Drosophila melanogaster: one gene and its partners. The protein of the gene in region 3 purifies or fractionates together with the protein of the main gene of each other region. This does not show direct contact. Each region holds a gene or a part of one and is shown on either strand. Other genes may lie near its edges.

Region 1 (6,353 bases), on a different chromosome or scaffold from region 3:
AAGTTTGCTGATTGCATCATCCCATCAGCTATTAACTTTCGGCTCGCCTTTAGATTGCTCATAGCCCCTATTATATGGATATTCATAAAGACGGCTAGGAATGGCGCACAGACGACCCTGTACGCTGCCCTGGATCCCAGTTTGGAAAAAGTATCTGGAAGATACTTCAGCGATTGCAAGCAGAAGCACGTGGGCTCGGCCGCCCAGTATGACGATGATGCCCAATTCCTATGGGCGGAAAGTGAAAAGTGGACGGGAATTAATATATGAGCAACTTTATGACTCTTTTAACTCTTACCCTGTATTGTTGAAATACATTTAATAGAATAAGCTAAATGAGCTAGATGTTCTGTTCAACTTTTGTAAAAACATTACAAACATTTTAAAAACATTTGGCTGGAAGTCTTGGAACCAGTTATCTGAGTAATCTTAAATAAACTGATTTAGTAATTGCATTTTTTAAATAAACATTTAGTTAACGTTGCCTTGGCGTCACTAGAATCTGAACTATTTAGCAATATATGATTTCGGTTTAAGTCATGAGCTGTCATAGAAGCAGGTGAAAAACTAATCGAAAATAATAGAATATAAATAAGAATAATAATAATAGAATAATATGGTATTATAAGATTAGGTATTAATTAAATTAGACTTGCAGATAGTTATTTAGCTTATCATGCATTTGCTCGACTTGCAATGAGGTTTTTATAAACTAGAAGCAAAAAGCTCTCAGCAAACCCCAAACATATTTCGTTCTCTCGCAGTTTCGAATCAAACTCATCGTGAGTAAGCGTTTTGTGGCTTTCGTGTATTTTGGAGCAGATAGCGTACATTTCGTATAAAAGGCAGTTCCAAACGGACGGGCAAACATTCATTGACAGAACCAGCAAGTGAAACGAACACAAACGGCGGCAAGATCTATACTGTATCCAAACAAAATGGGCTGCCTTACTAATTGCTTGTGCTGCCCCCTCATTTTTGGCCGTCCATTATCGGACTGGCTGCCTACTTGCTAAGGTATTTGCATGGAATAGTTCTACTGCTGAGTAATGATTAATACGCTCGTGAATTGCGGCCTGTGTTGAAATAGAGTGATAAGAATTAATGAATTTCAGAAAATACATGCAGGGCGGTCAGTTCACCAAGCAGACCGATGAGACCGGCAAGGTGTTCATTGTCACCGGTGCCAACACGGGCATTGGCAAGGAGACGGTCCTGGAGATTGCCAAGCGAGGAGGCACTGTGTACATGGCATGCCGGGATATGAACCGGTGCGAGAAGGCGCGCCAGGATATTATCAGGGAGACAAATAACCAGAACATATTCTCTCGAGAACTGGACTTGAGTTCGCTGGAATCCATTCGCAAATTCGCTGCTGGGTAAACGCAAACATGATAGATCGACGAATGCGTTACTGATTTCCCTCGTTTATTAGATTCAAGAAAGAGCAGGATAAGCTTCATGTCCTGATAAACAATGCAGGAGTTATGCACTGTCCCAGAACACTGACCAAGGATGGCTTCGAAATGCAGTTGGGAGTCAACCATATGGGACACTTCCTGCTCACCCACTTGCTGCTGGACGTATTGAAGGTATTTTGGGTACTCAGGACTTTCTTAGCACCTTGTTAACCAAACTCCCTGCTTAATCTCACTAGAAAACTGCACCCAGTCGCATCGTGAACGTTTCCAGCCTGGTGCACACCCAAGGTTTCATTAAAACTGCCGACCTAAACAGTGAAAAGTCGTACAGCAGAATCGGTGCCTATAGTCAGAGCAAGCTGGCCAACGTCCTGTTCACCCGGGAATTGGCCAAGCGCCTGGAGGGAACGGGGGTCACAACCAACTCCCTACATCCCGGTGCCGTGGACACGGAGCTGTCGAGGAATTGGAAGTTCCTGAAACACCCCTTTGCACAGTAAGATAGAAGACATAAGTGGGCACTACTTGAGTTTGATATTAACACTCGTATCGCTTAGGCTACTGCTCAAGCCCCTCCTGTGGGTACTCTTCAAAACCCCTCGCAATGGAGCGCAGACCACTCTCTACGCAGCCCTGGATCCTGCACTAAAGGATGTTTCCGGGCTCTACTTTAGCGACTGCCAGCCAAAGGAAGTGTCCGCAGCTGCCCAGGACGACAAGACTGGAAAGTTCCTCTGGGCGGAGAGCGAGAAGTGGACCGGCGTGAATTCAACCAAAGTTGATTAAGCAACCATTAGTTTATCCCTCGCCATTTCATAATTTATTATTTTAATAGCTTATCATAATGAAGACTAACGCAAAATGTAATAATTTATGTTTGAATTGTAGAATTCTTACGGATTCTACAAGCTGAAAATAAAGAAATGCTCCCAAAAAAGCTTTACCTAATCTAAAATTTGTATTTTGAGATCAACATTGTTGCATTTCTGTGTTCAGTACTAAAGAAAAATGGTCAAATTCTTTTGTTTTTTTTGTAAAAGTGATGGAATCAATTTGGATGATTCATGCTTTATTTTTGTACCCGTTATTCCTGGAGTAGGAGGGTATACTAAATTAGTTGGAAAGTATGTATGTAACATAACGAATCAGTTAGTTCCCTATATCTCGACGTTCAAACGGACGGATATGGCTGGATGGATCGTTTTGACTAGTGTTGCTGATCAAGTCTAAATATAAACTTTATTCTATATGTTACATACTGTTCAGCGAACCTATTATACCCTTTTACTCCACGCGTAATATACCCATTGAGTAAATATAAACATCAATGGAATTGCTTTTATTTGTTTGAATGCTTTCCACTATCATAACATATTATTGAGAATTCGTTTTCTCTTGACCTTCGTTAAGAATCTCTCTCCCGACGTTCTCCATTTCGTCAGGTTCTCACTCCGAATTAGCGATAATATATGTTTGTGTGGGGTAGCTGTGCTCAGTAATATATTAACAGCTGTGCTGTTCGTACCAGAACGCACTCAACGATTGAAATAAGATCTGACAACACCCTAAATACAAGGAATTGTACAAAGATATTCAAAATGTGCATTTTCATCGATTGCTTATTGAGCCCCTTGATTATGTGGCCAGCTACTATCGGCGTGGGCATCTACTTCTTGAAGTGAGTTGCGGTAATTATTTCGTGTAATTATGAAATATACCAGTGTGACTACGCATCCATGACTCGCTACTATGATTCCCCCGGGTAATAGATAACAGCTTTTCAGGTAATTCCTATTGATAATTCCAGGGAGTACATGCAAGGTGGAAAGTTTACGAAGGACACCGATGAGACCGGAAAGGTATTCATTGTGACCGGTGCCAACACGGGCATTGGCAAGGAGACGGCTCTGGAGATAGCCAGACGTGGGGGAACTGTGTACTTGGCTTGCAGGGATATGAACCGATGTGAAAAGGCCCGCAAGGATATCATCAAGGAGACAAATAACCAGAATATATTCTCTCGAGAGCTGGACCTAAGTTCCCTAGACTCCATTCGCAAATTTGTTGATGGGTAAGCTTACCTCCAGAGAATTTTCTTGTCTCTGTAAGATTTAAAAACCTATCCTATCAATCAGCTTCAAGAAGGAGCAACCCAAGCTTCACGTCCTGATCAACAATGCCGGCGTGATGCGTTGTCCCAAGACCCTAACCAAGGATGGCTACGAACTGCAGCTGGGAGTAAATCATATTGGTCACTTTTTGTTGACTAACTTGCTGCTCGACGTACTGAAGGCAAGTGTGCTATATAATAGTCAAGTGCGTCAGATAATGGTCTTACAAAATTTCAGAACTCGGCTCCCAGTCGCATTGTCGTTGTGTCCAGTCTGGCACATGCGCGTGGCTCCATTAACGTAGCCGACCTCAACAGCGAGAAGTCGTATGATGAGGGCCTAGCCTACAGCCAGAGCAAGTTGGCCAACGTCCTGTTCACCCGGGAATTGGCCAAGCGTTTGGAGGGCAGCGGAGTCACAGTAAATGCCCTTCACCCTGGTGTGGTGGACACTGAGCTGGCGCGGAACTGGGCCTTCTTCCAGACAAACCTTGTGAAGTAAGTGATGAATAAGTGAATTAGGACCTTCCCAGTAATACCTGTTAACCTTCCTAGGTTCTTTTTAAAGCCAATGATTTGGCCGCTTTTAAAGACACCGAAGAGTGGAGCTCAGACCTCGATTTACGCTGCTTTGGATCCGGAGCTTAAGAACATCTCTGGCCTGTACTTCAGTGACTGCAAACCAAAGCCTGTGGCTTCTGGTGCCTTGGACGATAAGGTTGCCAAGTTCCTGTGGGCCGAGAGCGAGAAGTGGACCGGATTAGATAAGCTGGAAGCTAATAACTAAAGAAGAACGAATAGTGTTAGAACAAGCCTTTTATTATACTTGAATACTAGCTGCTGTTTCACGAACGGATTAATAAATAAATACATATTTCTCTAGCTTTCATAAAGCATATTTCATATTTCGCATAAGTCGATTAGTACGCCTGTTGGCTAATAAGTTTCCAGTTTAGTTGGCTTTCTGCTCAGTTGCTCCCGCCGTGATAAACACCCTGGAGTGGAGCACATGGGTTGTGGGTTCCCTCTTCTCTTGCGCATTGTTTACGGTGTTGACGTATGTGTACTGCATATAGAAGCCCAGAACGACGTCTGCTAATCCGGACAGCTCCTCTGCTGGGGTAAACTGTAGCCGCAAAAGCACCTTGTTGCCCTTCCGCCAGACAATAAACTTGGGCTCCTCGGTGGACAGTTGCACGTCCTCGTCGAACTCTTTCGAGTCATCGCGCTGGTTCAGAACGAACTCGCTCTCCAACGGAACTATTTCGGCATTGGATATATCAATCACATCTCGTTTTACCTCCCGTGTTGAGTTTTGACGCGACAGTGTGATGCCCACTGCTTTTAGAAGTGGGGACGAAGAAATGGGTTCCTCTTTCGCAACACGAGTGGCCTCTGTTGACAGCTGTGGATCCTCAGGAGGAGATGCAGTCAACAGTCGAATTGTCATATCGTATATAGTCGGATTCGTGAGCTTCAGCAAAATGGCGTTGCTTTTTCCTGCCACCAGTGGCTGCTCGCAGCGCACCATCACCACTTCAGGAACATGGTAGCTGGCGAAGTGCTGAATGCGGTACTTTATCGATGTGGGATGGTACTCCGGTTTGATTAGATTGTGCTCGCACTGGCGGCAACGAAGCGACCGCTTAATCCACAGGGACCTGCGCTGAGGATAAAGACTCCCAACGGCCGTGGGCTGGTCCGCCGGCTGGCTATGTCGCTGGGTGATGGTTGTCACATTCCGCAAGTTCAAGGGTTCCGTGAAAATGTTCTCCGGCAGGCCCTCCACCTCCGCCGTGGCCTCTGCCGGCGTTATCACGGCTTTAGCCTTGGGAGCCTTGTCGTTCCAGCCGATTTGGCGGCGAATAAGTGAGACGGTTAGTCCAGTGCGATCCGTCAGACTGGGAAACTTGTGCTGCTTGGGTGCCTTGCGCCGCATGAACTCCAGTTTCTCCTGCTTCTCCTGCAGCACCACCGCCTGGAAGTACTCGACCAGAGCATTAAATCGCGCCTGGTACAAGCACTCGTTATCCGGCCAGGTGCCCGTGGCCACGCCTTGGTCGGGAATGCCCACATCTCGCGTGGTCCATCGGCAGGACAAGCACGACAAATAGTACATCTTTTTTGTGGTGGGCACCGCAGAGGGCTTGCTGCTCGCCGGGACTGGGGGCGTGGCTTCGCCCTTGGAGTCGCCATCCTTTGGTTCCTTCGCCTCCTCCGACTTGCGCACCACCGGAACGGTAGATGCTCTGGCGGAAAGGGTGTGCTGGCAGCAAGGACAGTCGAAGCAGTTCGCACAACAGTTCTTCTTGTGGCGCGCCTCTGTGGAGGGAATGTTTTCCAGGCAGTTGGAGCAGAAGTGCGACTCGATCTCATGCGTCACGCAGAAGCCACAGCGCAGCTTGGGGCAGTGGCGGCAGAAGAACAGCGTGTTGATCGGGTTCAGTATGCCGCAGGAGCACGCGTACTTAACGGGACTCGGTTGCATGAAGCTCATCTTGACGACGCTAGTTTTCTCCTGGTTTCTTAGTAAATTTGCAAATTTGTCCTCTTCTTGCAGTAATGACGACAGCTGTTATATCGATAAGTCGATGACTCGATTATATGTAGTCATCTATGGGCGTACCAATGCTGGGCAGCACTGGTGAATTGGCGGTTATGAATTTATGAAATTGATTAGTACTTTTTATATCCTAGAGTGAATGGTTATAAAGTACATTACCCACTAACCAGAAGTGGATCGTCCAAGGTACTCTGTTTATCCCGCTCATTTTTTAAAAATTACTAATCCATAATACATAAAAGTAGAACAATTTTAAAAA
Region 2 (9,056 bases), on a different chromosome or scaffold from region 3:
CCCAAAAAAAAAAAAAAAACGAAAAACCACCAATCAACAACCCACAAAACATTCGCACCCCTAATCCCACCACCCACAAAAAGACTGAAACCGAAGAATCTGGGGACAAGAAAACGGAGGAGAAAACTACAGGTAAAGTAGGAAGATCGTCCCTAGACTCTAATCAAAATTTCTACCCCGTAAAGACGCTGAAGGTGAGACCCAAGAAAAGTCTGAGGAAGTGGATACCAAGGAAAAATCAGAGGTTGAGAGTACCAAAGATGATGAGGTTGGAAAATCCGAGGATGTTAAAGATGATGAGGATGAAAAATCCGAGATTGTAAAAGATGATAAGGAAAACTCCCAGGATGTTAAGGATGATAAAACTGAAAAATCCGAGGATGTTAAAGATAAATTAGAGGGAAGTGAGGAGACCGCAGAAACATCGGAGGATGCTGACACTACTGAGAAACCAGATGTTGAGGCCACCAATGATGATGGGGATACAAAATCGGAGAAAAACGAGACGCAAGAAAAGTCCGAGGAAGTTGATGCCGTTGAAGAATCAGAGGCCGAAAGCTCCAAGGAAAAAACGGAGGAAAATGACACCAAAGGCACCAAAGTCAATGAGAATGATAAAGACGAGGATGTTGAAGAAAAGACCGAGGAAAATGCAACAGAAGAGTCCGCGGACTCGGATAGTGCTACCAAATCAGAGGTTAAAAGTACCGAAGATGATGAGGTTGTAGAATCGGAGGATGTGAAAGATGAATTCGAAGAAAATGAGACCAACAAAAAGGTCGAGGAAGTTGGTAGTACTGAAATATCCGAGGTTGTAAGTACGGAAAACGAAAAATTTGAAGATATTAAAGAAAATCCTAATGAAAATGAGGCTCAAGAAAAGCCCGAAGAAGTTATGACTGCCGAAAGATCTGTAGAGGAAACCAAAGAGGAAGAACCAATCGACGAGGAAAAACCTGCAGAAACGAAGACAGAAGACACGCCCGAAAATGAAGAAAGCAAACCGGATGGCGAGAATTCCTCTTCCGAAGAAAGCGAAGAAGAGTAAAAGAAAATCGATTGAACGACAACAAAAAACGCACTGACATCCGCATCACAAACACCAATGCACAAAACGCACACATACACACACACGCACATAAAAAAACGCACATTTAGCCAAATAATACCAAAAATGTTTTGTAAATAGAAACAAGAACCCACTAATAACGAGTCTGGTGACGGGTAATGAACCCTAGTTTAGGCCTTTATGTGACTTATTTACAATTTTTACTCCTTTCCCAAAACAAACAACAAAAAACTCGCTGCTGTCTACAACAACAATGAAAGAAGTTACCAGCGACCACAACAACAACAGCAGCATCAGCTAAGAAGACTTCAGATTCCCAATCGGATCTCTTATTGGACAGCGAGCGGGCAGCGGCTGCGCAGTAGGCGTCGACGTCAGCGCAGACAGAGGCAGCGCCAACTTTGATTTAAATTATTTTTATGATTTCCACAAACTATTCGGGCTTGTTGCAATTCTCACTTGTTTTTGCTGATTTATTATTTTATGTGTCGATACTCTAACAATGATACAACCGTTTTTTATTTATTACAAAATTAATTTACTTTTGCGCTAAAATATATTCAAATTCTAAAAGCTGTAAGCAATTAGTTTATCCAAAGGCTTAGCAAAAATGTAATAAAAAAAAAAACTTAAAAATTGCTAAGGTTTAGGCGTGGTCAATAACTTGAATGGTTTAAATTAAAGTAATTGTGATGCTATTTATTTAATTGAATAAAATGTTAATCTAGAAATTCAGCAAATTGTGCAGTAAATTTATGTTAATTCAGCATTAAAGTGAGCGAAAGTAGCAACAAGCCCGTGGGTTTTTCTTTCTCAGTTTATAACACAACAAAAGAGTAGTAATATCAATAGACTTTTGTATTTACGTGTCTCACTTTTAGTTCTTGTATCCAAATAATTAAATATACAGTACATTATAATTATGTTTAGTACAGTACACGGTAAAATGAAGTTATAGTTATTTACGCACTAGTTCGGGGTCTTTTCCATTACAAAACTAGTAAAAATGCGAAGGAAGGGTTCGCATTGGTGTGCCTCCGCCACGCGCCACGCGAAACTCATTTACTAAAAGGAAAACAAAGAGGCTTCTCTTCCGTCCCAGTGAATTAGAGAGGAGGTTGAGGTTGATTGGGGTTCAGGACGTCTATCCATCCGTCCGTCCGTCCGTCGCACTGTCCATGTAGACAGTGGATTTATTCGCCGTCCTCCTCATCGGACGTATCTGTTGTATAGTCGCTCAGGTTCTCCTGCTGATCGGTGTGCTCCGGTTCCGATTCGCTCAGATCCCACTGAGGATGATCCGTCGGTGGTGCGGGAGCCTTCTGTACATCCAACTTCAGCTCCTGCTGCTGATCCATACCCAAATACGAGTCTGAAACAGAGGAAACATTGTGTGAGAATCCCCCCTTCGAATGCCAATGTACTATGCAATCCAAACTCTTTTAGAAACTCACCCGATCTCAGGCAAACGGTGAACGTGTAGACGCCCGGCCAGCGCGGCGCGGTAAACTTCAGCTGGATCTCCTCCTTCTCGACCAGATTGGTCACATGATAGGGCGCTGTGAGCAGGGTGCGCGACTTGCGATCGCATATGTAGGTCCACCAGTACTCCTGCTTCTCCTCGGGGAAGTAGGGGCAGTGGACGGTGTGCGACAGCCGAGACTTGCCCTCGAGACGCTCCCTCTTGTTAAGCTTAGCTTGCAGTCGCTCCCACTCCTCGTCATCGTCGTCGTCCAGCGAGGAGTTGTTCTTGCCCTTCTCCTCATCCTCGCTGCCACTGCCGGCAGCCGATTCCACATCGCTGCCATCCGCATTTCCAGCCTCCGATTCGGCATCGGAGTTACCCGCCGCCGCTTGATCCTCGGATGCCGTGATCGTAGCTGTTGTCGCAGCCTTGGCCGGCACCTTCTTCTGGTTCTTTTGGTTCTGGGCTGGTTTCTTACCACCCTTTCCCTTGCCACCCTTACGTGGCTTGGCCCAGGCAGAAGCCTTCTTGACCGGCGCAGCGGCAGCAGCCTCATCCTCATCACCGGCAGCCTCCTCATTGGTCTCATCCTTGATGCCCTGCTTCTCAGGCGCCTTTGTGTCACCGAATAGCGTCTTCATGTCCTTGCGCTCCAGCGTAACCGTGACCGTAACTATGGCCCCGGCGGTCACCACATTGGTGTTCTCATCGTCGATAACCTCGCAGCGAATGGAGAAGTCAATCAGCGGCATCTTGCCCAGCACTTTCATCGTGTTCTCGTACTCAAAGTCAGATAGGTTCTTCAGAAGCTGACGGCTCTCCTCCGGCTTGAGCTGGGCGAATTGCTGCAGGTTCTTGACGTGCCTCTTCTTGTTCATAAAGTACAGATGGTCCTCGGTGAGATGGGGCAGCTGCAGCAGTGGCGATTTGAACTCCCACAGGCCTTGGATAATCATCGGCGACATTTTCATGCAGTTCTCAATCGTTTCGATGCTGGGCAGGCGGGGCACACGTCGGGCATAGGCCATCATGACCAGCTGGTGAACGCAGGAGACCATTTCTTGCACCAAATACGGGCACTTCTTCACCACAAACTGGCGATCGCGCTCCAGAGTTTCCGGATTGAGGGGCATGCGACTGAGATGGGCATGCAGGATGGCGCGAGCCTTGATGGAGTACATGCGGCACAGCGGATGCTCCTTGCACTTCTCATTCAGATTGGGCAGCTGTCTAATCAGCTGTATTCGAAAAGGAAGTGTTATTAGTGAGCGAACAACGAATGGAAATTCCAATAAAATGCACTCACCGCCGGCACCTCGTCATTGTCCGACTGCCGCTCCTGGACCTGCGAGTTGTGTCGCTTGTCAAACTCCAAACTGGCTGCCAGAACCATAAGTGCCCGCTTGAGCAGCATGTGCGGTGTCTTGTGGATGAAGTAAAAGTACATCTGAGTGGTATCGAGCAGCACTTTGTCGCCACTGAAGCGGATGGAGCGGTACCACCAAACACCCACTGCCGAGGGCATGGCCACCATGAAGACCAGGCCGTACAGACCCAAAACCCAAACGCTATTCTCCTTCTCCACAATCCACGAGGGCAGGGCGATGCCAAAGGACATGGCACCCGGTCCATCCGGATTACCATACTTCTCGTAGTTCTCCTTTGCCACATCGTCGGTCAGCGCCTGGTACGCTTTGCTCAGCATCATGAAGGACTTCTCGTCACCCGTCTCCTTGTCGGGATGGAGCACCTTGGACAGCCGGTAGTAGGCCTTCTTGATCTCGGCCTGCGACGACGTCGGCGGCACATTCAGGATCTCGAAGGGATCGAAGCTGGCCATCTCGTAGTCGAACTGCGAGACGCGGTACGTGAGGAAGAGCAGTAGGGCCCACCCCAGCACTATGGTCAGCTTGATGGTCCATGACGTGAGAGCTCTGTACGGCTCGGCATTGGCCAAGATGGTCTTCTTTTTCTGGCAGTCGGCGCACTGACATTCCTCTTTAAGTTTGCTGTTATCTGCAAGTATGTGTACGAAAATTGGGTCAGTACGGGGATTATATAGGCTATTTTAAAATATTTGAAATTTATCATTTTCACTTAAGATGGCTAATAAAATGATTTAAAAAAAAAACGATCTTTACAGGTACCTGCTAACCTGATTACGATTAAAATTAGTTGAGGTCTGTCTACGCATATTGCATTTTTTTTTTTACCGGGAATGCCAGCGCTACAGAAATGAAAATCTCGCGAGAGGAAAATCGTGAGAGAGCAGCCGATTGGTCAGTGAGCGTGTGTGCAAAGTGCACAAGCACAGCATGATCGCGATAAGTCAAAGGTAACTTGCTCATAATCACTCCTCCTCCACCGATCACGATGATAGGTAAGTTATCACGATATTAGCGACGCATGGACGCTTGTGGAGCGTTGAGTGCGCTGTCCCAATTGGAAAACGAAGAGAGCTCGACTTGCGGTAATCGCAGCGCAGCTTTCACCCATACGAAGACGATGAGCTGACGTTGTTAGAATAACTTATTGGAACGTGTCCATTTAGTTTGTTGGTGGCGGCGGGAGGGTTAGAGCAGGAGAGCGTGGTAATCACATGTATGTCTATGCCTTCGCCTTACTGGCACTCACTTACACACATACACACGCGCACAGCTGCAGGTGGAAAATTAAAAAACAAGAGCGGAGAGAGTGCGATTTAAATCGGCTGGCAAGCGGCACTTACCTTGTTTCTTTTTACGTGGCCAATAGTAAATGGTGGTCGGTATCAATATTAGCGCCAAGAACGATAACACAAAGTAGTAGAACGTTCCGCCGCTCTCATCATACTGAAACTTTTGACCCGCCATCTCCGACAGCGACTATATGTATTTTGTATTTTGTCTGGCACTGCCTTTTGGCTCCGTTCCGTTCCGTTCCTTTCTCTGCCGCCGCTTTCCCCTGCACTTTTCCTCCGGCAGATCCAGCTGATGTTGCTGTCGCGTTGGAGTTATCGCTACAATCGCTGCGCCCCGTGGATTCTCGATCGACACGCGGCGATCTGCGAGATTCGAATGGGGCAGGAGCTGGTGTTGTTGCTGCTGCTGCTGCAAGATATCGCGAGATTGGCACGCCGCGAACTTAAAAAACTCTGTATTTACACCGACGCATGAGACTGACACGTAGGGTTGTTTGGCTCGTGCTGGAACCGATAGGCGTAGCTGGAGCGGAGCCGGTTCGATTGCACGGCTATCGATAGGCGGGAGGCAGCATTCATAGTTTAGGGTTGCCAAAGCTGGCAGTACTAAGTTTAGAATCTGATTTTTTAGGTCACCAAGTACTAAAAATGTTTGCAAGCAAAACTTTTGTCAGCAAGTTTTCAATGTAAATGTATATTTTTAAATGGATTTGCCTATATATATATATATATATATTTTTTTTTTTTATAATATAATATGTGCTCGCTAGAAATACAAAGCAAATATCTGATTAGCATGAGCTCATCGTCTCGTTACATTTTGGGTTTAGCACGCTAGCAGCTTTTTAAATTTTGCTCACCAAAGAAGGTGACGGTGGAATACGGGGTATTCATATAAAGGTATGATCCCTAGAGAGCTTTTCTGCCGTCTTGCCTTTTCGGTATTTCGAGTACGATCGTTCAATTAGTGTGCGCCTTAACTTAAAAGCTGGTGATTCCGTGGCACAACTCCATTAGCAGCACAACTGTGGCAACGGAAAGGTGACAACTTAGGGATGGCGAATAGATTAGGAAACCATGAAGTTACCCGCACCGCACGTGAAGTGCAGCAAAACTTTGCCGAGTCGCTCGGCTACGCGGAAGAGATAATCTGGGATCTGTAAGTACTGCTACTGCGCATTAGAATTTTGAATTCAAAGTATTTGGGGTAATGACGTAACCCCTTACAGGTTGTCCCATGAACAACATGACGTGCTAAGGGGCAAACTCTGTCAATTGATTCGTGATTCTCCGGAACCGAAAACTGCAACGGAAACTGAAAAAGACAGAAAAATCCGGCTGAAGGTCAACGCAGATAATGAGCGCGCCCGTCAGATCATTTTCGATTCCGTTTGGCAGCAACGTGAGTTGGACTTACAGATTGTATATAGTATAGTACATTTTTTCGCTGCCTTAACTGCGTACAATTGTTTTCCAGGAAAGTATACCAACCGTCAATCGCTGACGGCGATCATTTACGTAATGGTGGTAACTGACGAAACGGACGTCAATCGCGCCGAGGACGCCAGAGTCTTCAGCGTGCACCCAGTCTTTCGGGCCCGTCGATGCGTCGGTGAGTCATCCTTTGCATACGTATGCAATTTACAATATATTTCCTATCTATCTATCAATGGATCCATTTAATACTCAGTTGGCAGTAGTGGCACCAGCAGCGTCAGCTCGAATTGCTGCAATCTGTTTATCGACGAGCTTGGTCGGGTCTACCAAAACTGGGAGATGTATGTGACCACCAACGAGTTGCCTGCCGGAGTGATGGTGGCCCCAGAGAAGGGTATTTACCGCTTGGTCAGGGATCAAGTACGTCTGGATAAGTACACAACGCCGGCGGGCACGACCAACAGGAAGGTGCTGGGCTACCTGGATACTGGGTCGGCAGTCGGAGGATTTTTTGCTGCCTGTGTGCCCATTGCTGCCCTGCTAACGCTGCCCGTATCCGCTCCGCTGATGGGCGCAGCGGGAGTAGTAGGTTTGGCCAGTGCTGGATACGCCGCATCGCGGTCTGGCAGCAAGCTATTCGATCGCAGCCAACATGAGCAGTCTATCAATGTGACGGACCGCGAAGCGCGTGGTCACTGGTTGGGCGTGGCTGGTGGCACTGTGGGATTGGCAGCGGCTGGGGCCACCACAGTCTTGACAACGGCCACAAATGCTGGACGCGAGGTGGGAGCGGTGAGTCCTTAAACCCCCCCCCCCACGCAATCAACAATGGAATAAAAATGTTAAATATGTACTCACATAGATCACCCAACTGACTGTGAATAGCATGAACATATCCTCGATTGTGGTATCGGGCACTGGAGTTGCCAATGGTGTGCTGGATCTGATATTGGCAAGTCTCGAAACTTAGACTGTGATTAGATTAGGCTAGATAGATTAAACTTATGAAATTTATGATCTTCCACAGAAAGCAAAAGACGGTGACGAAATAGTTGCGATGGATGTTTTGCAATTGTCCGCTTCGTTGGTGCTGCTCACGCACAGCGTCTACAACTTTAAATTGGCTTCGACCATAATTAATGAGACAAGCAATGCTAATATTGCCGACTATCGTAAAAACCTTTCTAATAGGCAGCGGTAAAAAACGTTCAATGAGATACATTCTGTCGTAAACAAGAGTTTCTACTTGTATTTTTTTTACCATCAGGCGAACCTTTGACAAGGCTGCCAAGGAGACCGTTCGGATGCAAGGCAACACTCGCGGCAAACTGGACATTATACGCAACGTAAACGAAATTTCGCCACAAGAGTTTAATGATCTTTTTAAGATCAACAAAAACTTGAATCAGGAGGGCGTGCGATACTCATTCGCACCCGATGGCAAAGGATTTTTACTAAATGGCGATGTGCAGACGACGGGTGCGGAATTGCGAGCTAGTGTACAACATAACCAAGGAGGGAATGTCCTAGGCAAAGTTAGTCAGCCCATTCCCGGTAGCCATGCGGGTTCTGGTCGCCTTCAACTGGGCGGCGTTAATCAGGTTTCCCGTCTAATCGGACCGCTGCCCACATCCCATCCTCGACAGGAACCCAGTACCTATGCCGCCGGCGTGTTCGCCTTGGAGCTAAGCTCTGTGTTGGTGGGCGGTGTTGTTTTCGTACTGGAGAAATACGGAAAAATCATATTTGAGCACGTGATCAATGCTGAAAGTTTTGAGAGCCTAATCAACATCATGGCCAATAAGCTTGATCCAAAAGTCTTTGACCATATAATGCTATTGACCAGAGCCTTCATGGACACCATGCTGGAAGACCTCACCTCGGTGCTAAAGTTCTTTATATCAACGGAATCCGTTCTTTACCGCATTTTGTTGTACATTTTACGGAACTTCGAGGACGTGCAACTTTCGGTTATTGCGGATCACACTTGTGAGATCGTAGAAGCCGTAAGGGTGTACTTCATGTCCCTGAATCCAAATGCGTTCCCGGGTCTCCTTCAGAAGTGTCCGAAATGTATCGGCCACTTCAGCGTTTGTCCCTTGTAAGTGTTTAACGAAATGGTTCGTTTAACATTAGAATTCAAGGGCCATCAGCATGTCATAATTGATGCCCAATTGTTTAACCACAAAGAAACGTTAGCTAGTTCCGCAAATAATCAATGGGATAACTTACTTAATATGAGCACAAATTGACAAAGATGAAATTGTTTTAGCATTTAAATAAAGATTTTATTAACCCTGTTGAAATAATTGTAATAAAAGGAGAATTTTGAACCGGAATGGTTCTGATTTCCGGTTTTCGAACACAGAATATGTGAATCATTCATTGTGTAAAGGGGATTTTTT
Region 3 (8,308 bases):
ATTGTACCCGGGTGACACAGTTTTCGGGAACACAGTATGCTCCGTACCCGAATACCAGTGCTAACTCTTTTGTCATTTCCCGGCGACAGCATCAAGTTACCAGTTATGGTTCATGGAACGTGTTGACCTAATCAGGCACTGCCATATCATTTCTAGTCTTATGAAAGACTTTCTGGCCCAGTTACCCAACGACAATGAGATGAAAAGAGCAATGAAAAGCAGAGAGAACCGCCAGAATTTATTCACTAGACGAGAAAAAGGGTCAGGTATATATATACTACATACATACAAAATCAAATTTAGCTTAATTAAGAAAATATATATAGAGTGTCTAAGGCACGTTTGCAACATAGAAATTATGAGGGAATATATTAGGAAACCTAAACCTAAACTCGCATGCATCTAAAACCCAGTATCTCTGTGCAGATCTTTCCCAGAATCTCAGACGGAAAATCCAGAACTCTGACTTATCTTTGGCTTTCCACTCACACGACCATCGTAATGACAGCCACAATTAACACACGATATTAAATATAATTATTCTGTTTTAATTGTTTGCCACGCTCCGCTTTGTCAAGAACAAAAGAAATTTAATTTGCTTGCGCTGCTTTTTTATGGTCTCCTTTCCAGGCAATTATGCTTTTCATTGCTGTGAACTTTTGGTAGTAAGGCAAGTAAAATGTGCAATATAACAACAGGAGTATTGAAGCTTAAGGCCGAAATTGATGTAAATACACTTAACGCAGCTATTATCCAACAAAATTATGCTTGAATCACTCGAGGAAATTTTCCAGCGTTTAGCAGACATAATGCCCATTTGCATTTAATAATATGCGTGGTAAACGACCTTGTTCCTCGGGCTAATCGATCCAATCAACAACCGACAATCAAATGGAGTTGATTGTTCGCTGGGTCTTCGATCCGTTTGCTTCGACTTCAAATGCAATTTCAAATGAAGACACGGAAAGAAATAGTTGCAGTATATTCCTTAATTGTTTTTAGCCCTTTCCATTTGTTTTCGATATAATTTGAGTTGAAACTTTGTTGCAACTGCAACTGTATCAACTGCCTGCAAGATCAATGTGATAAAAGCCACTTAGCTAAATTTGCATAATAAAACATCAGTTAGTGAAGCAAAATGGCATATGATTAAAATCGAAACTACCCCTTTATGTGCACAATTTTCTTGCGGTGCAATGTGCCACTGACTTGACCAAATACAAATTTGTAAGCCAAATTAATATAATTCATTGCTGTTGGCCAGCAGTGGCATTGATGGAATTTTATGCACTTTAATTTTGGAGCGCGCACCACAGATCTTAGTCATAAATTTTAAGTTGGCAGTTTTGCTTGGAACTCAACTTTAAATTGTATGATTTGACTTTTGTTTGTTGGCTCTTGGAGTTTTTTTTTTCAGTTGTTGCTGGCGGCGACAATTCGTGTCAATGTCAGCATGATTTAAAGTTTTTTTCTGATCCACAAGGGGCTGGGGGCGGGGGGAGGTCAGGTGTTGATGTCAGTGCGTCTGCAAACAAGTTTAATCGAATAATGCATAATATGCACCTGGTGGCCAAAAGAAAAACCAAACAAACTGGATGCAAGCAGTGCAGTGCGAGAAGTGCAAGCAGTGGAACACTGGAAGAAAACTGCTAGTGGCCACAATGATGATGAAAGGCTCTTCGTGCGCATAACTCAGTCAGTTGGACACACACATTTGAGCCGCAAGAAATATGCATTTCTGAAATAGTTTCGCAAAACGGCGACTGACACAAAAAACAGTAGCCGAAAACACAAAGTGAAGCACGCAAAAAAAAAAAAAAAACCAAGAAACAAATGGTTAAAACAATGCGAATGTGGGGGAAAAAACAGAGTCACATCGGCAACAACAGCATCAACCTTACCAATAATAACAACACCGAAAACAACAACAAATCATGAGAGTTCGGCTGCTGTGCGGCTTTAACTCGACTTCTTCTTCATTTCGCTCATTTGAGACCCGGCTCACGGTTTTCACCTGAAGCGCGTGAAAGTTGCGCTTCGTCGGGGCAGCAGCAGCAGCAGCAGCCCATGTGCACTGCGAGAAACGCCTGCCCACTTTGGTTGACCCTTCCAACAGCGCTCCTTTAAATCCACTAAATGCTACTAGCATCAGCATCTACGCTACTTGCAGTATCTCAAATTTATGTAAATATATTAATACTAATTAAATATTAAAATATTACTGATTTAGAAGCTTAAAGCAACATACAACACAGAAGATAGGAATGCTACATTTTAGTAACACTTTATTTAATGAAAACCATGCTGCAAAACGATTTACGATACAAAATCCACAAAGTTATAAGCCAACGTAAAAATTAATTCTTATTAAAAAAAAAACATTTAAAAAATGCTGATACTTATTGAATAAGCAGGACATTATTTTATATCGTGATAAATAATGAATATTTTCCTTTGTGCACCACAGACCGCACTTTAAAAAAAAGAGCTAAAATAAGGTGTGTAAGGTAAGGGCCAGGCCCCTGAGCCAGGTAATTAATGCACCTTGGAAAAACAAATGTCACTTGCACGCCAAACGCAAACAAAAACAAATCACAACAAATACGCACTTTTTTTTCGTATCTGGGCTCTATCACGCTTTTCACAAAGTTGCGCAAAACCAACCGAGAAACGTTGTCGCCGTGTATCTGTATCTTTTCGGCTTGTATCTTTGGCCTCATGCAGCGCAGACGACGGCGCTGCACTCACGTAACGGAACTGCCGATGTGCGGGCGAAATATAGCGAAAAACCTATAGCGGACCGATCCCACAATATTCAAACCTCTAGCCTTTGCGGCCGAAGATCAACTGAAACTCTGGCTCAAAGCACGGCTCAAAACTCACGAACCGAACGCGAAAACCCAGCGATCCGAAGGCGAAGTCGAAGAGCCGAAGAGCACAATCACTGCTCGGCAGCATTCGGCAGCGCACAGTGGAGCTGATGGGCAAAAAGCTTACAATAGGAAATAACATAATAATTCATACTAAAAAACTACATTCAAAATGTCTCAAATATTACAAATCAATCTACTTAAAGCAACGCTATAAAATAAAGATATTTTCATTTTTATAGCATTTATTTTCGATGGACTTAAATGCTTAAAACTAGGGAAAAGGGAAAAATATTTAAAAAAAAATATATATATATAAAGAACCAATGCAAAGGAAGAGCAGCAACAGAGAAATGCAATTTTTGTGTTATAAAAATATTTCAACTATGGCATCAGTAGGTTTCTTTTAGTTTGCTCCATACAAATAGGTCATTGCCCACTGTGCGCAGCTCGCAGTATGCTCGATATCTGGTCGATCGGCCAGGAACAAGCGCACATATGCTGGTGAGCTGGAAAGATCTTATCGCACTTGGCATGTGGGCCAGACGGCTGAGACTCTCGCATTCTGCCGCTGATACTCTCGGCGCTCAGTTTCTCCATTCCGTCCACCGGCCACCCACCCACCTGGTGGCTCACTTTGAAATGGGGTCACTTGCGGCGGCGGGGAATCCCCGCGACGATTCCACTGGCAATTGGCATTCCCGCTACGTCGTCATACATGGTATACAATTTTCGTTTTTATTTCTGGTACGTTACAAGTTAAATAGGTTTGCTCGACTGCGCTTAAACTCCGCAAACTGCTCCTGCTTCTGCTCCTTCTTCTCCTTCTGCTTCTACAGCTCTAGCTCCAGCTCCTCCGCTGATTGGTGCTGCTCTGATCTGAGGTGTCCGTGGCAAGTCCGAGTGGCAAATATTGCGCAAGCGCGGCGGACACTCATATTACATTAGGTTTCAAACTTCAGGCTGGATATCGGGTTTCTTCCGTCGCTTAACATTAAGAGTACAAAAATACATTGACTTTGTGATTACAACAATCCACAGATCCACCCGCTTCACGCTCACTGCATGTCCTTCATCTCCGGTTGCAATCGAACGACAAATTTGAATTAAATTTTAACCATATATCGTATGTATACATTATATATATATATAAAATAAAAAAAATGTTTAAGGAGAGCCAGAAGTAAAACGTGTTTGAATTTATGCAATAGGCAACAATTAGAATTAGCTGGTGGTGCTGACGATATCTGGCGGGGTTCGTGTCTAGCCCTCCTGCCCAAAGTCCTCTGTGAATTTGCGCAGCTTCTTCAGATCGTCTTCGTTGACGGTCGGTTTCGTGCGGGACAAGGACTTCAGCATGTCGCGCTGGATGTAGAAGTTCAAGAAAGATTATTGGCACTGCGAAAAAAGGTTGATAGCTAAGGATGCCGTACCATGGTCACGGGCGGTTCGAAGAGCTTGTCGCTGGGCACATCCATCCAGTTCATCTCGACGGCGCCCTGGTCGCCAGGTGAGCACGGAACCAGCAAATCGTTGACAATCTCCTCGTGGTTGGTGGGACTCGGACCGGATACCCGCTTGAAATGCGTGGCGGTCTGCACTTTCCTCACGGGTTCCATCAGCGCATCGCGCACAACGATTGATATATCCGCGCCAGAGTAGCTGCAAAACGGAAAATCATTCACTTAGTTAAATATGCTTACATATAAACATTATAAACAATGGATCAATTTTGTGTGATAGTGAAGCAAATAGTTTATAAAGTGCATTTACCCCTCGGTTTTGCCGGCCAACTCCTTGAGATCCTGCTCGGTGAGCACGTGCGTGGTGTTGCCCAGATGGATCTTGAACATGACGAGGCGGGCATGCGCCTCCGGCAGCGGAATGTAGATGCGCTTCTCGAATCGACGGCGAATGGCCGAGTCGAGGACCCACGGTATGTTTGTGGCGCCGAGAACGAGAATGCCATCGGTGTCATTGCCCACGCCCTGCATCTGCACCAGAAACTCGGTCTTGATGCGTCGCACGCTGTCGTTCTCGTTGTCCGATCTCGCCGAGCACATCGAATCGATCTCGTCAATGAAGATAATGGAGGGCTTGTGCTGGCGGGCCAGTTCGAAGAGATTCTTGACCAGCTTCTCGGACTCGCCCAGCCACTTGGACATCAGATCCGAACTGGACACCGAGAAGAATGTGGAGCGATTGGCCTCGGTGGCGACGGCCTTGGCCAGATAGGATTTACCGGTACCGGGCGGGCCGAACAGCAGGATGCCCTTCCACGGAATCCGCTTGCCAGTGAAGAGCTGCGGGAATTTAATCGGCAGGATAACGGCCTCCTTCAGCGCCTCCTTGGCGGCATCCAGGCCAGCGACATCGGACCACTGAACCTTTGGCTTCTCTATGACAATGGCGTCCTCCAGCTTGCTCTGCAGCTTCTTCTTCTCGGGATCGTCGCCGTCCTCGTCATCGCTGTCGCTCTTTTTGTCCTTGTCGTCCTTGGCGCTGGACTCACCACCCTCCTTGATCGGTTTCTTTTTGCCCTTCTTCAGGTACTCCTTTAGCTTCTCGGCCCGGTCCAAATACTGCAGGCACTTGGCCCGTATCGAGTCCTTGGCCTTCTCGCCCTGTGCCTCATCTGCTCGTTAGATAGTAATTTGATAGTTAGTAGTCAGCTTGCTTCTATTCAGTGAGTATAAGTGCATTTTAGATGCACTAATGGGACTGCTTACATTTGATGGTGTGCAGGAAGTACTCCACCCCGTGCTCATACAGACGCAGTGCCTCCGCGTAGTTCTTATTTCGATCCTCCTCGGTGGCCTTGGTCACCAGATCGATGGCCTTCTGTAGTGTGGTACCGGCTGCCATGGTGCTGGAAGTTACAAACGTTCACACATCATTATTTCAACTGGCATTTTGATGGGAGGAACTATCCACCAAGGCTTAACGTGGACTACTTATGGATTTTATCATCTTAATTTCCGCTTTCTAATCATTTCTGCTCAGCTTAGAGTTAAGTTGTCATATTTTAAAGCCTACAACTTTACTACACAGAGAACTAAAGATGCCACAAATATGTGGGCAAATCGATTTGTGCAATATGGAGCATAATGTATAGAATAAAGTTCAAAATAAAGTTATTAAACAGGTTCTAAAAATATAGTTACAATATCGATTTATGCAAAATCAACTGGATCTGATCCCAGCTTTGTTTATATCCTTTGATTGCTTTACACTCACTATCCAAAACGATTCTATAACTCATATTGTAATGCCAAACTTCCCGAGCATAATGATTCCATAGAATTTTGATATATTTCGGGCTGTAATAGCCCCCCTCCCCTTGGGAATCTATCATCTCGGCGTGAGTTTCGCTGGCCAGGCCGATGACGATGGTTACCCAATTGATCCTTGGCGGAGTAGTAACTCCCATCTTGCTACTCAGTGTCCTTCGGTGACGCAGTTCGCGAGCAAAATCGAATTTCTGGGCATGACTAATGCCCGAATACAGCGGCATTGACAAAAACACAAGTAGCCAACTTTTTGCGGGGCGGCTGCGGAGGGGATGGCGGGTCAGTTCCGACCATTACTCACATTTATGCTGGCTGACTTGCTCCTGGAATTCCGGCAAGCGTCACTGACTAACTCGCTGGCTAACTCGACAGGTGTTAAACAAAAGGAAAACTTAACTATTTTGTTGGAATTCCAACGCGAATGACGACGTCTTGTTTTTTTTTATTTGTCAGTGTGACCACAGCGCGGGCTGGGCCTTAGATTGCGGTGCAGCTGCAATGGTCACACATGGAAAGGTGAAATTACTTGGCGCGGTTTTTGAAAGTGTAGCCAAAAATCCAGCTCTAATAAATTCACATATGTGACAATATGACAATTTGTTCACATTACTTTATTTAACTTAAAAGAGTTCGGAACTCATATGTTATATGATTAAGTGTATAGCAAGCGATATTAAATGGACTTAGCTCATTAAAAAACGAATACAATATAAAAACTAATATATGATATTTCATAATTGCTATAAATTCCTATAAATTTTAATCGCCATAAATAGCTGATTTTAGCGTTTTTTCCACTAGCTCTGACAATCGATAACAATAATACATTATCGATACGCGCAATTAAAATATTTATATAAACAGTTTGTTTTTAAGTCTCCAATTTATAGGCAGTTAGGCGCTTTAATTATTTTATTTAAAGCGATATTTTAAGCGATTTCAATGAATTTTTAGGAAACTCAGTTGCCAGCTGATTTTGCGTCAGTTGGAGAAGATCAGATCATCTTGTCATATTACCCAATTACTCGAAAATCAAAATAGCATTAGAACTTCTGCCATTCCAAAAATAAAAAATAAAAATAAAAAAAATAGACAATGTCGGAGGACAAACAGTTCATCCGCCGGGATAAGGGCACCAAGAAAACTTCCACGTCTTTGAAGGAGGTGGACATCTACCGGGACACCTTCATTCGCTATATGGGTGAGTGTTCCTCCCAAGCAGAATCTGCCCAGATCCATCGAAATATATGAGTTTAATTGTTACGGCTTTGCAGGCTACAGCAACGAGATTGGCGAGTCCTTCCGCCCGCTGGTGCCCAAGTCTCTGGTGGCCGCATCCTACGGCATGGCCATCGGATACGTCTGCACGGACACTTTTGACAAGGCACTGCGCCTCCAAATGGAGGGCGCTTCCTCCAGAGAAGTGGCCGTCAAGGGCGGCGACGTCTTCTGCTGGCAGATGCTGGCCTCCGTCGCCATTCCCGGCCTGGTCATCAATCGGTGCGTTCAACCCTTGCCAGAAAATTGCCCAAAAACGTAGACTTAATGGTTGTATTTACATAGTTGGAAGTAGGGAATGAGGCGTCTTAAAGATTCCCTTTTTCCATTAGTTGCATAATACTTATCTTATATAAGCATAGTAAAAATTATACTATAGAGTGCATATACGTAGTAGAATGGCATGTGCAATGTTGCAAAAACAGGTTTATTGTATATTTGTAGATACACGATGAAGTCATCGTTCTCTCCAAGATCATACCCATTTTTATGAGTTTATGTTCACATAATAAGCAATGCTCATTTATATCGTTTTAGGATCACCTGGGCCACCAAAACACTGCTGAGCAAAGCGCCTATGCCCGTGCTAAAGACGGTGCCCACCCTGGTGGGTCTGGCCAGCATACCGCTTATCATCCATCCCATTGACAGCATGGTTGACCGCCTGATGGACGCCACCTACCGCAAGACGGTGCGGTAGTGAACGCTAGCTGGGATGTGCACAGCATTGGCCCAACTCCAAGTCTACTCCCATTCTACTCCACGGTGATAGTTCTTAGATACTAAGAGTTTACATGAACTGTAGCAAAGCTTTAGCCCCAAATCCAGTTTGCATATTGACCAGAATTTCTAGTTTAACATTTTATTTAT

What was found. The genes of interacting proteins can lie anywhere in the genome.
Region 1: the proteins of Vps4 (region 3) and Rdh1 purify together in Drosophila melanogaster (affinity purification with mass spectrometry, with the first as the bait; one large-scale study listed by BioGRID). This does not show direct contact.
Region 2: the proteins of Vps4 (region 3) and Sec63 purify together in Drosophila melanogaster (affinity purification with mass spectrometry, with the first as the bait; one large-scale study listed by BioGRID). This does not show direct contact.

What each region holds. Positions count from the first base shown.
Region 1 is NT_033778.4:7,662,918-7,669,270, forward strand, and holds Rdh1 (retinol dehydrogenase 1), read left to right. Parts: upstream 1-2,910; 5' UTR 2,911-3,019; coding exon 3,020-3,099; intron 3,100-3,228; coding exon 3,229-3,492; intron 3,493-3,556; coding exon 3,557-3,713; intron 3,714-3,769; coding exon 3,770-4,029; intron 4,030-4,086; coding exon 4,087-4,318; 3' UTR 4,319-4,426; downstream 4,427-6,353. Other genes in the region: CG2070 (uncharacterized protein), read left to right, coding at 54-270; CG2065 (uncharacterized protein), read left to right, coding at 1,123-1,379, 1,436-1,592, 1,658-1,917, 1,979-2,207; DCTN4-p62 (dynactin 4, p62 subunit), read right to left, coding at 4,484-6,028.
Region 2 is NT_037436.4:7,357,238-7,366,293, reverse strand, and holds Sec63 (secretory 63), read right to left. Parts: upstream 5,734-9,056; 5' UTR 5,387-5,733; coding exon 5,263-5,386; intron 4,656-5,262; exon of another isoform or gene 4,551-4,655; coding exon 3,841-4,550; exon of another isoform or gene 3,773-3,840; coding exon 2,524-3,772; intron 2,442-2,523; coding exon 2,263-2,441; 3' UTR 1,928-2,262; downstream 1-1,927. Other genes in the region: Sh3beta, read left to right, coding at 84-132, 186-1,048; pst (pastrel), read left to right, coding at 6,270-6,373, 6,444-6,826, 6,905-7,443, 7,514-7,603, 7,679-7,848, 7,919-8,756.
Region 3 is NC_004354.4:17,906,005-17,914,312, reverse strand, and holds Vps4 (vacuolar protein sorting 4), read right to left. Parts: upstream 6,622-8,308; 5' UTR 6,462-6,621; intron 5,740-6,461; 5' UTR 5,736-5,739; coding exon 5,600-5,735; intron 5,506-5,599; coding exon 4,644-5,505; intron 4,533-4,643; coding exon 4,304-4,532; intron 4,236-4,303; coding exon 4,134-4,235; 3' UTR 3,216-4,133; downstream 1-3,215. Other genes in the region: CG7772 (uncharacterized protein), read left to right, coding at 7,256-7,361, 7,435-7,660, 7,976-8,138.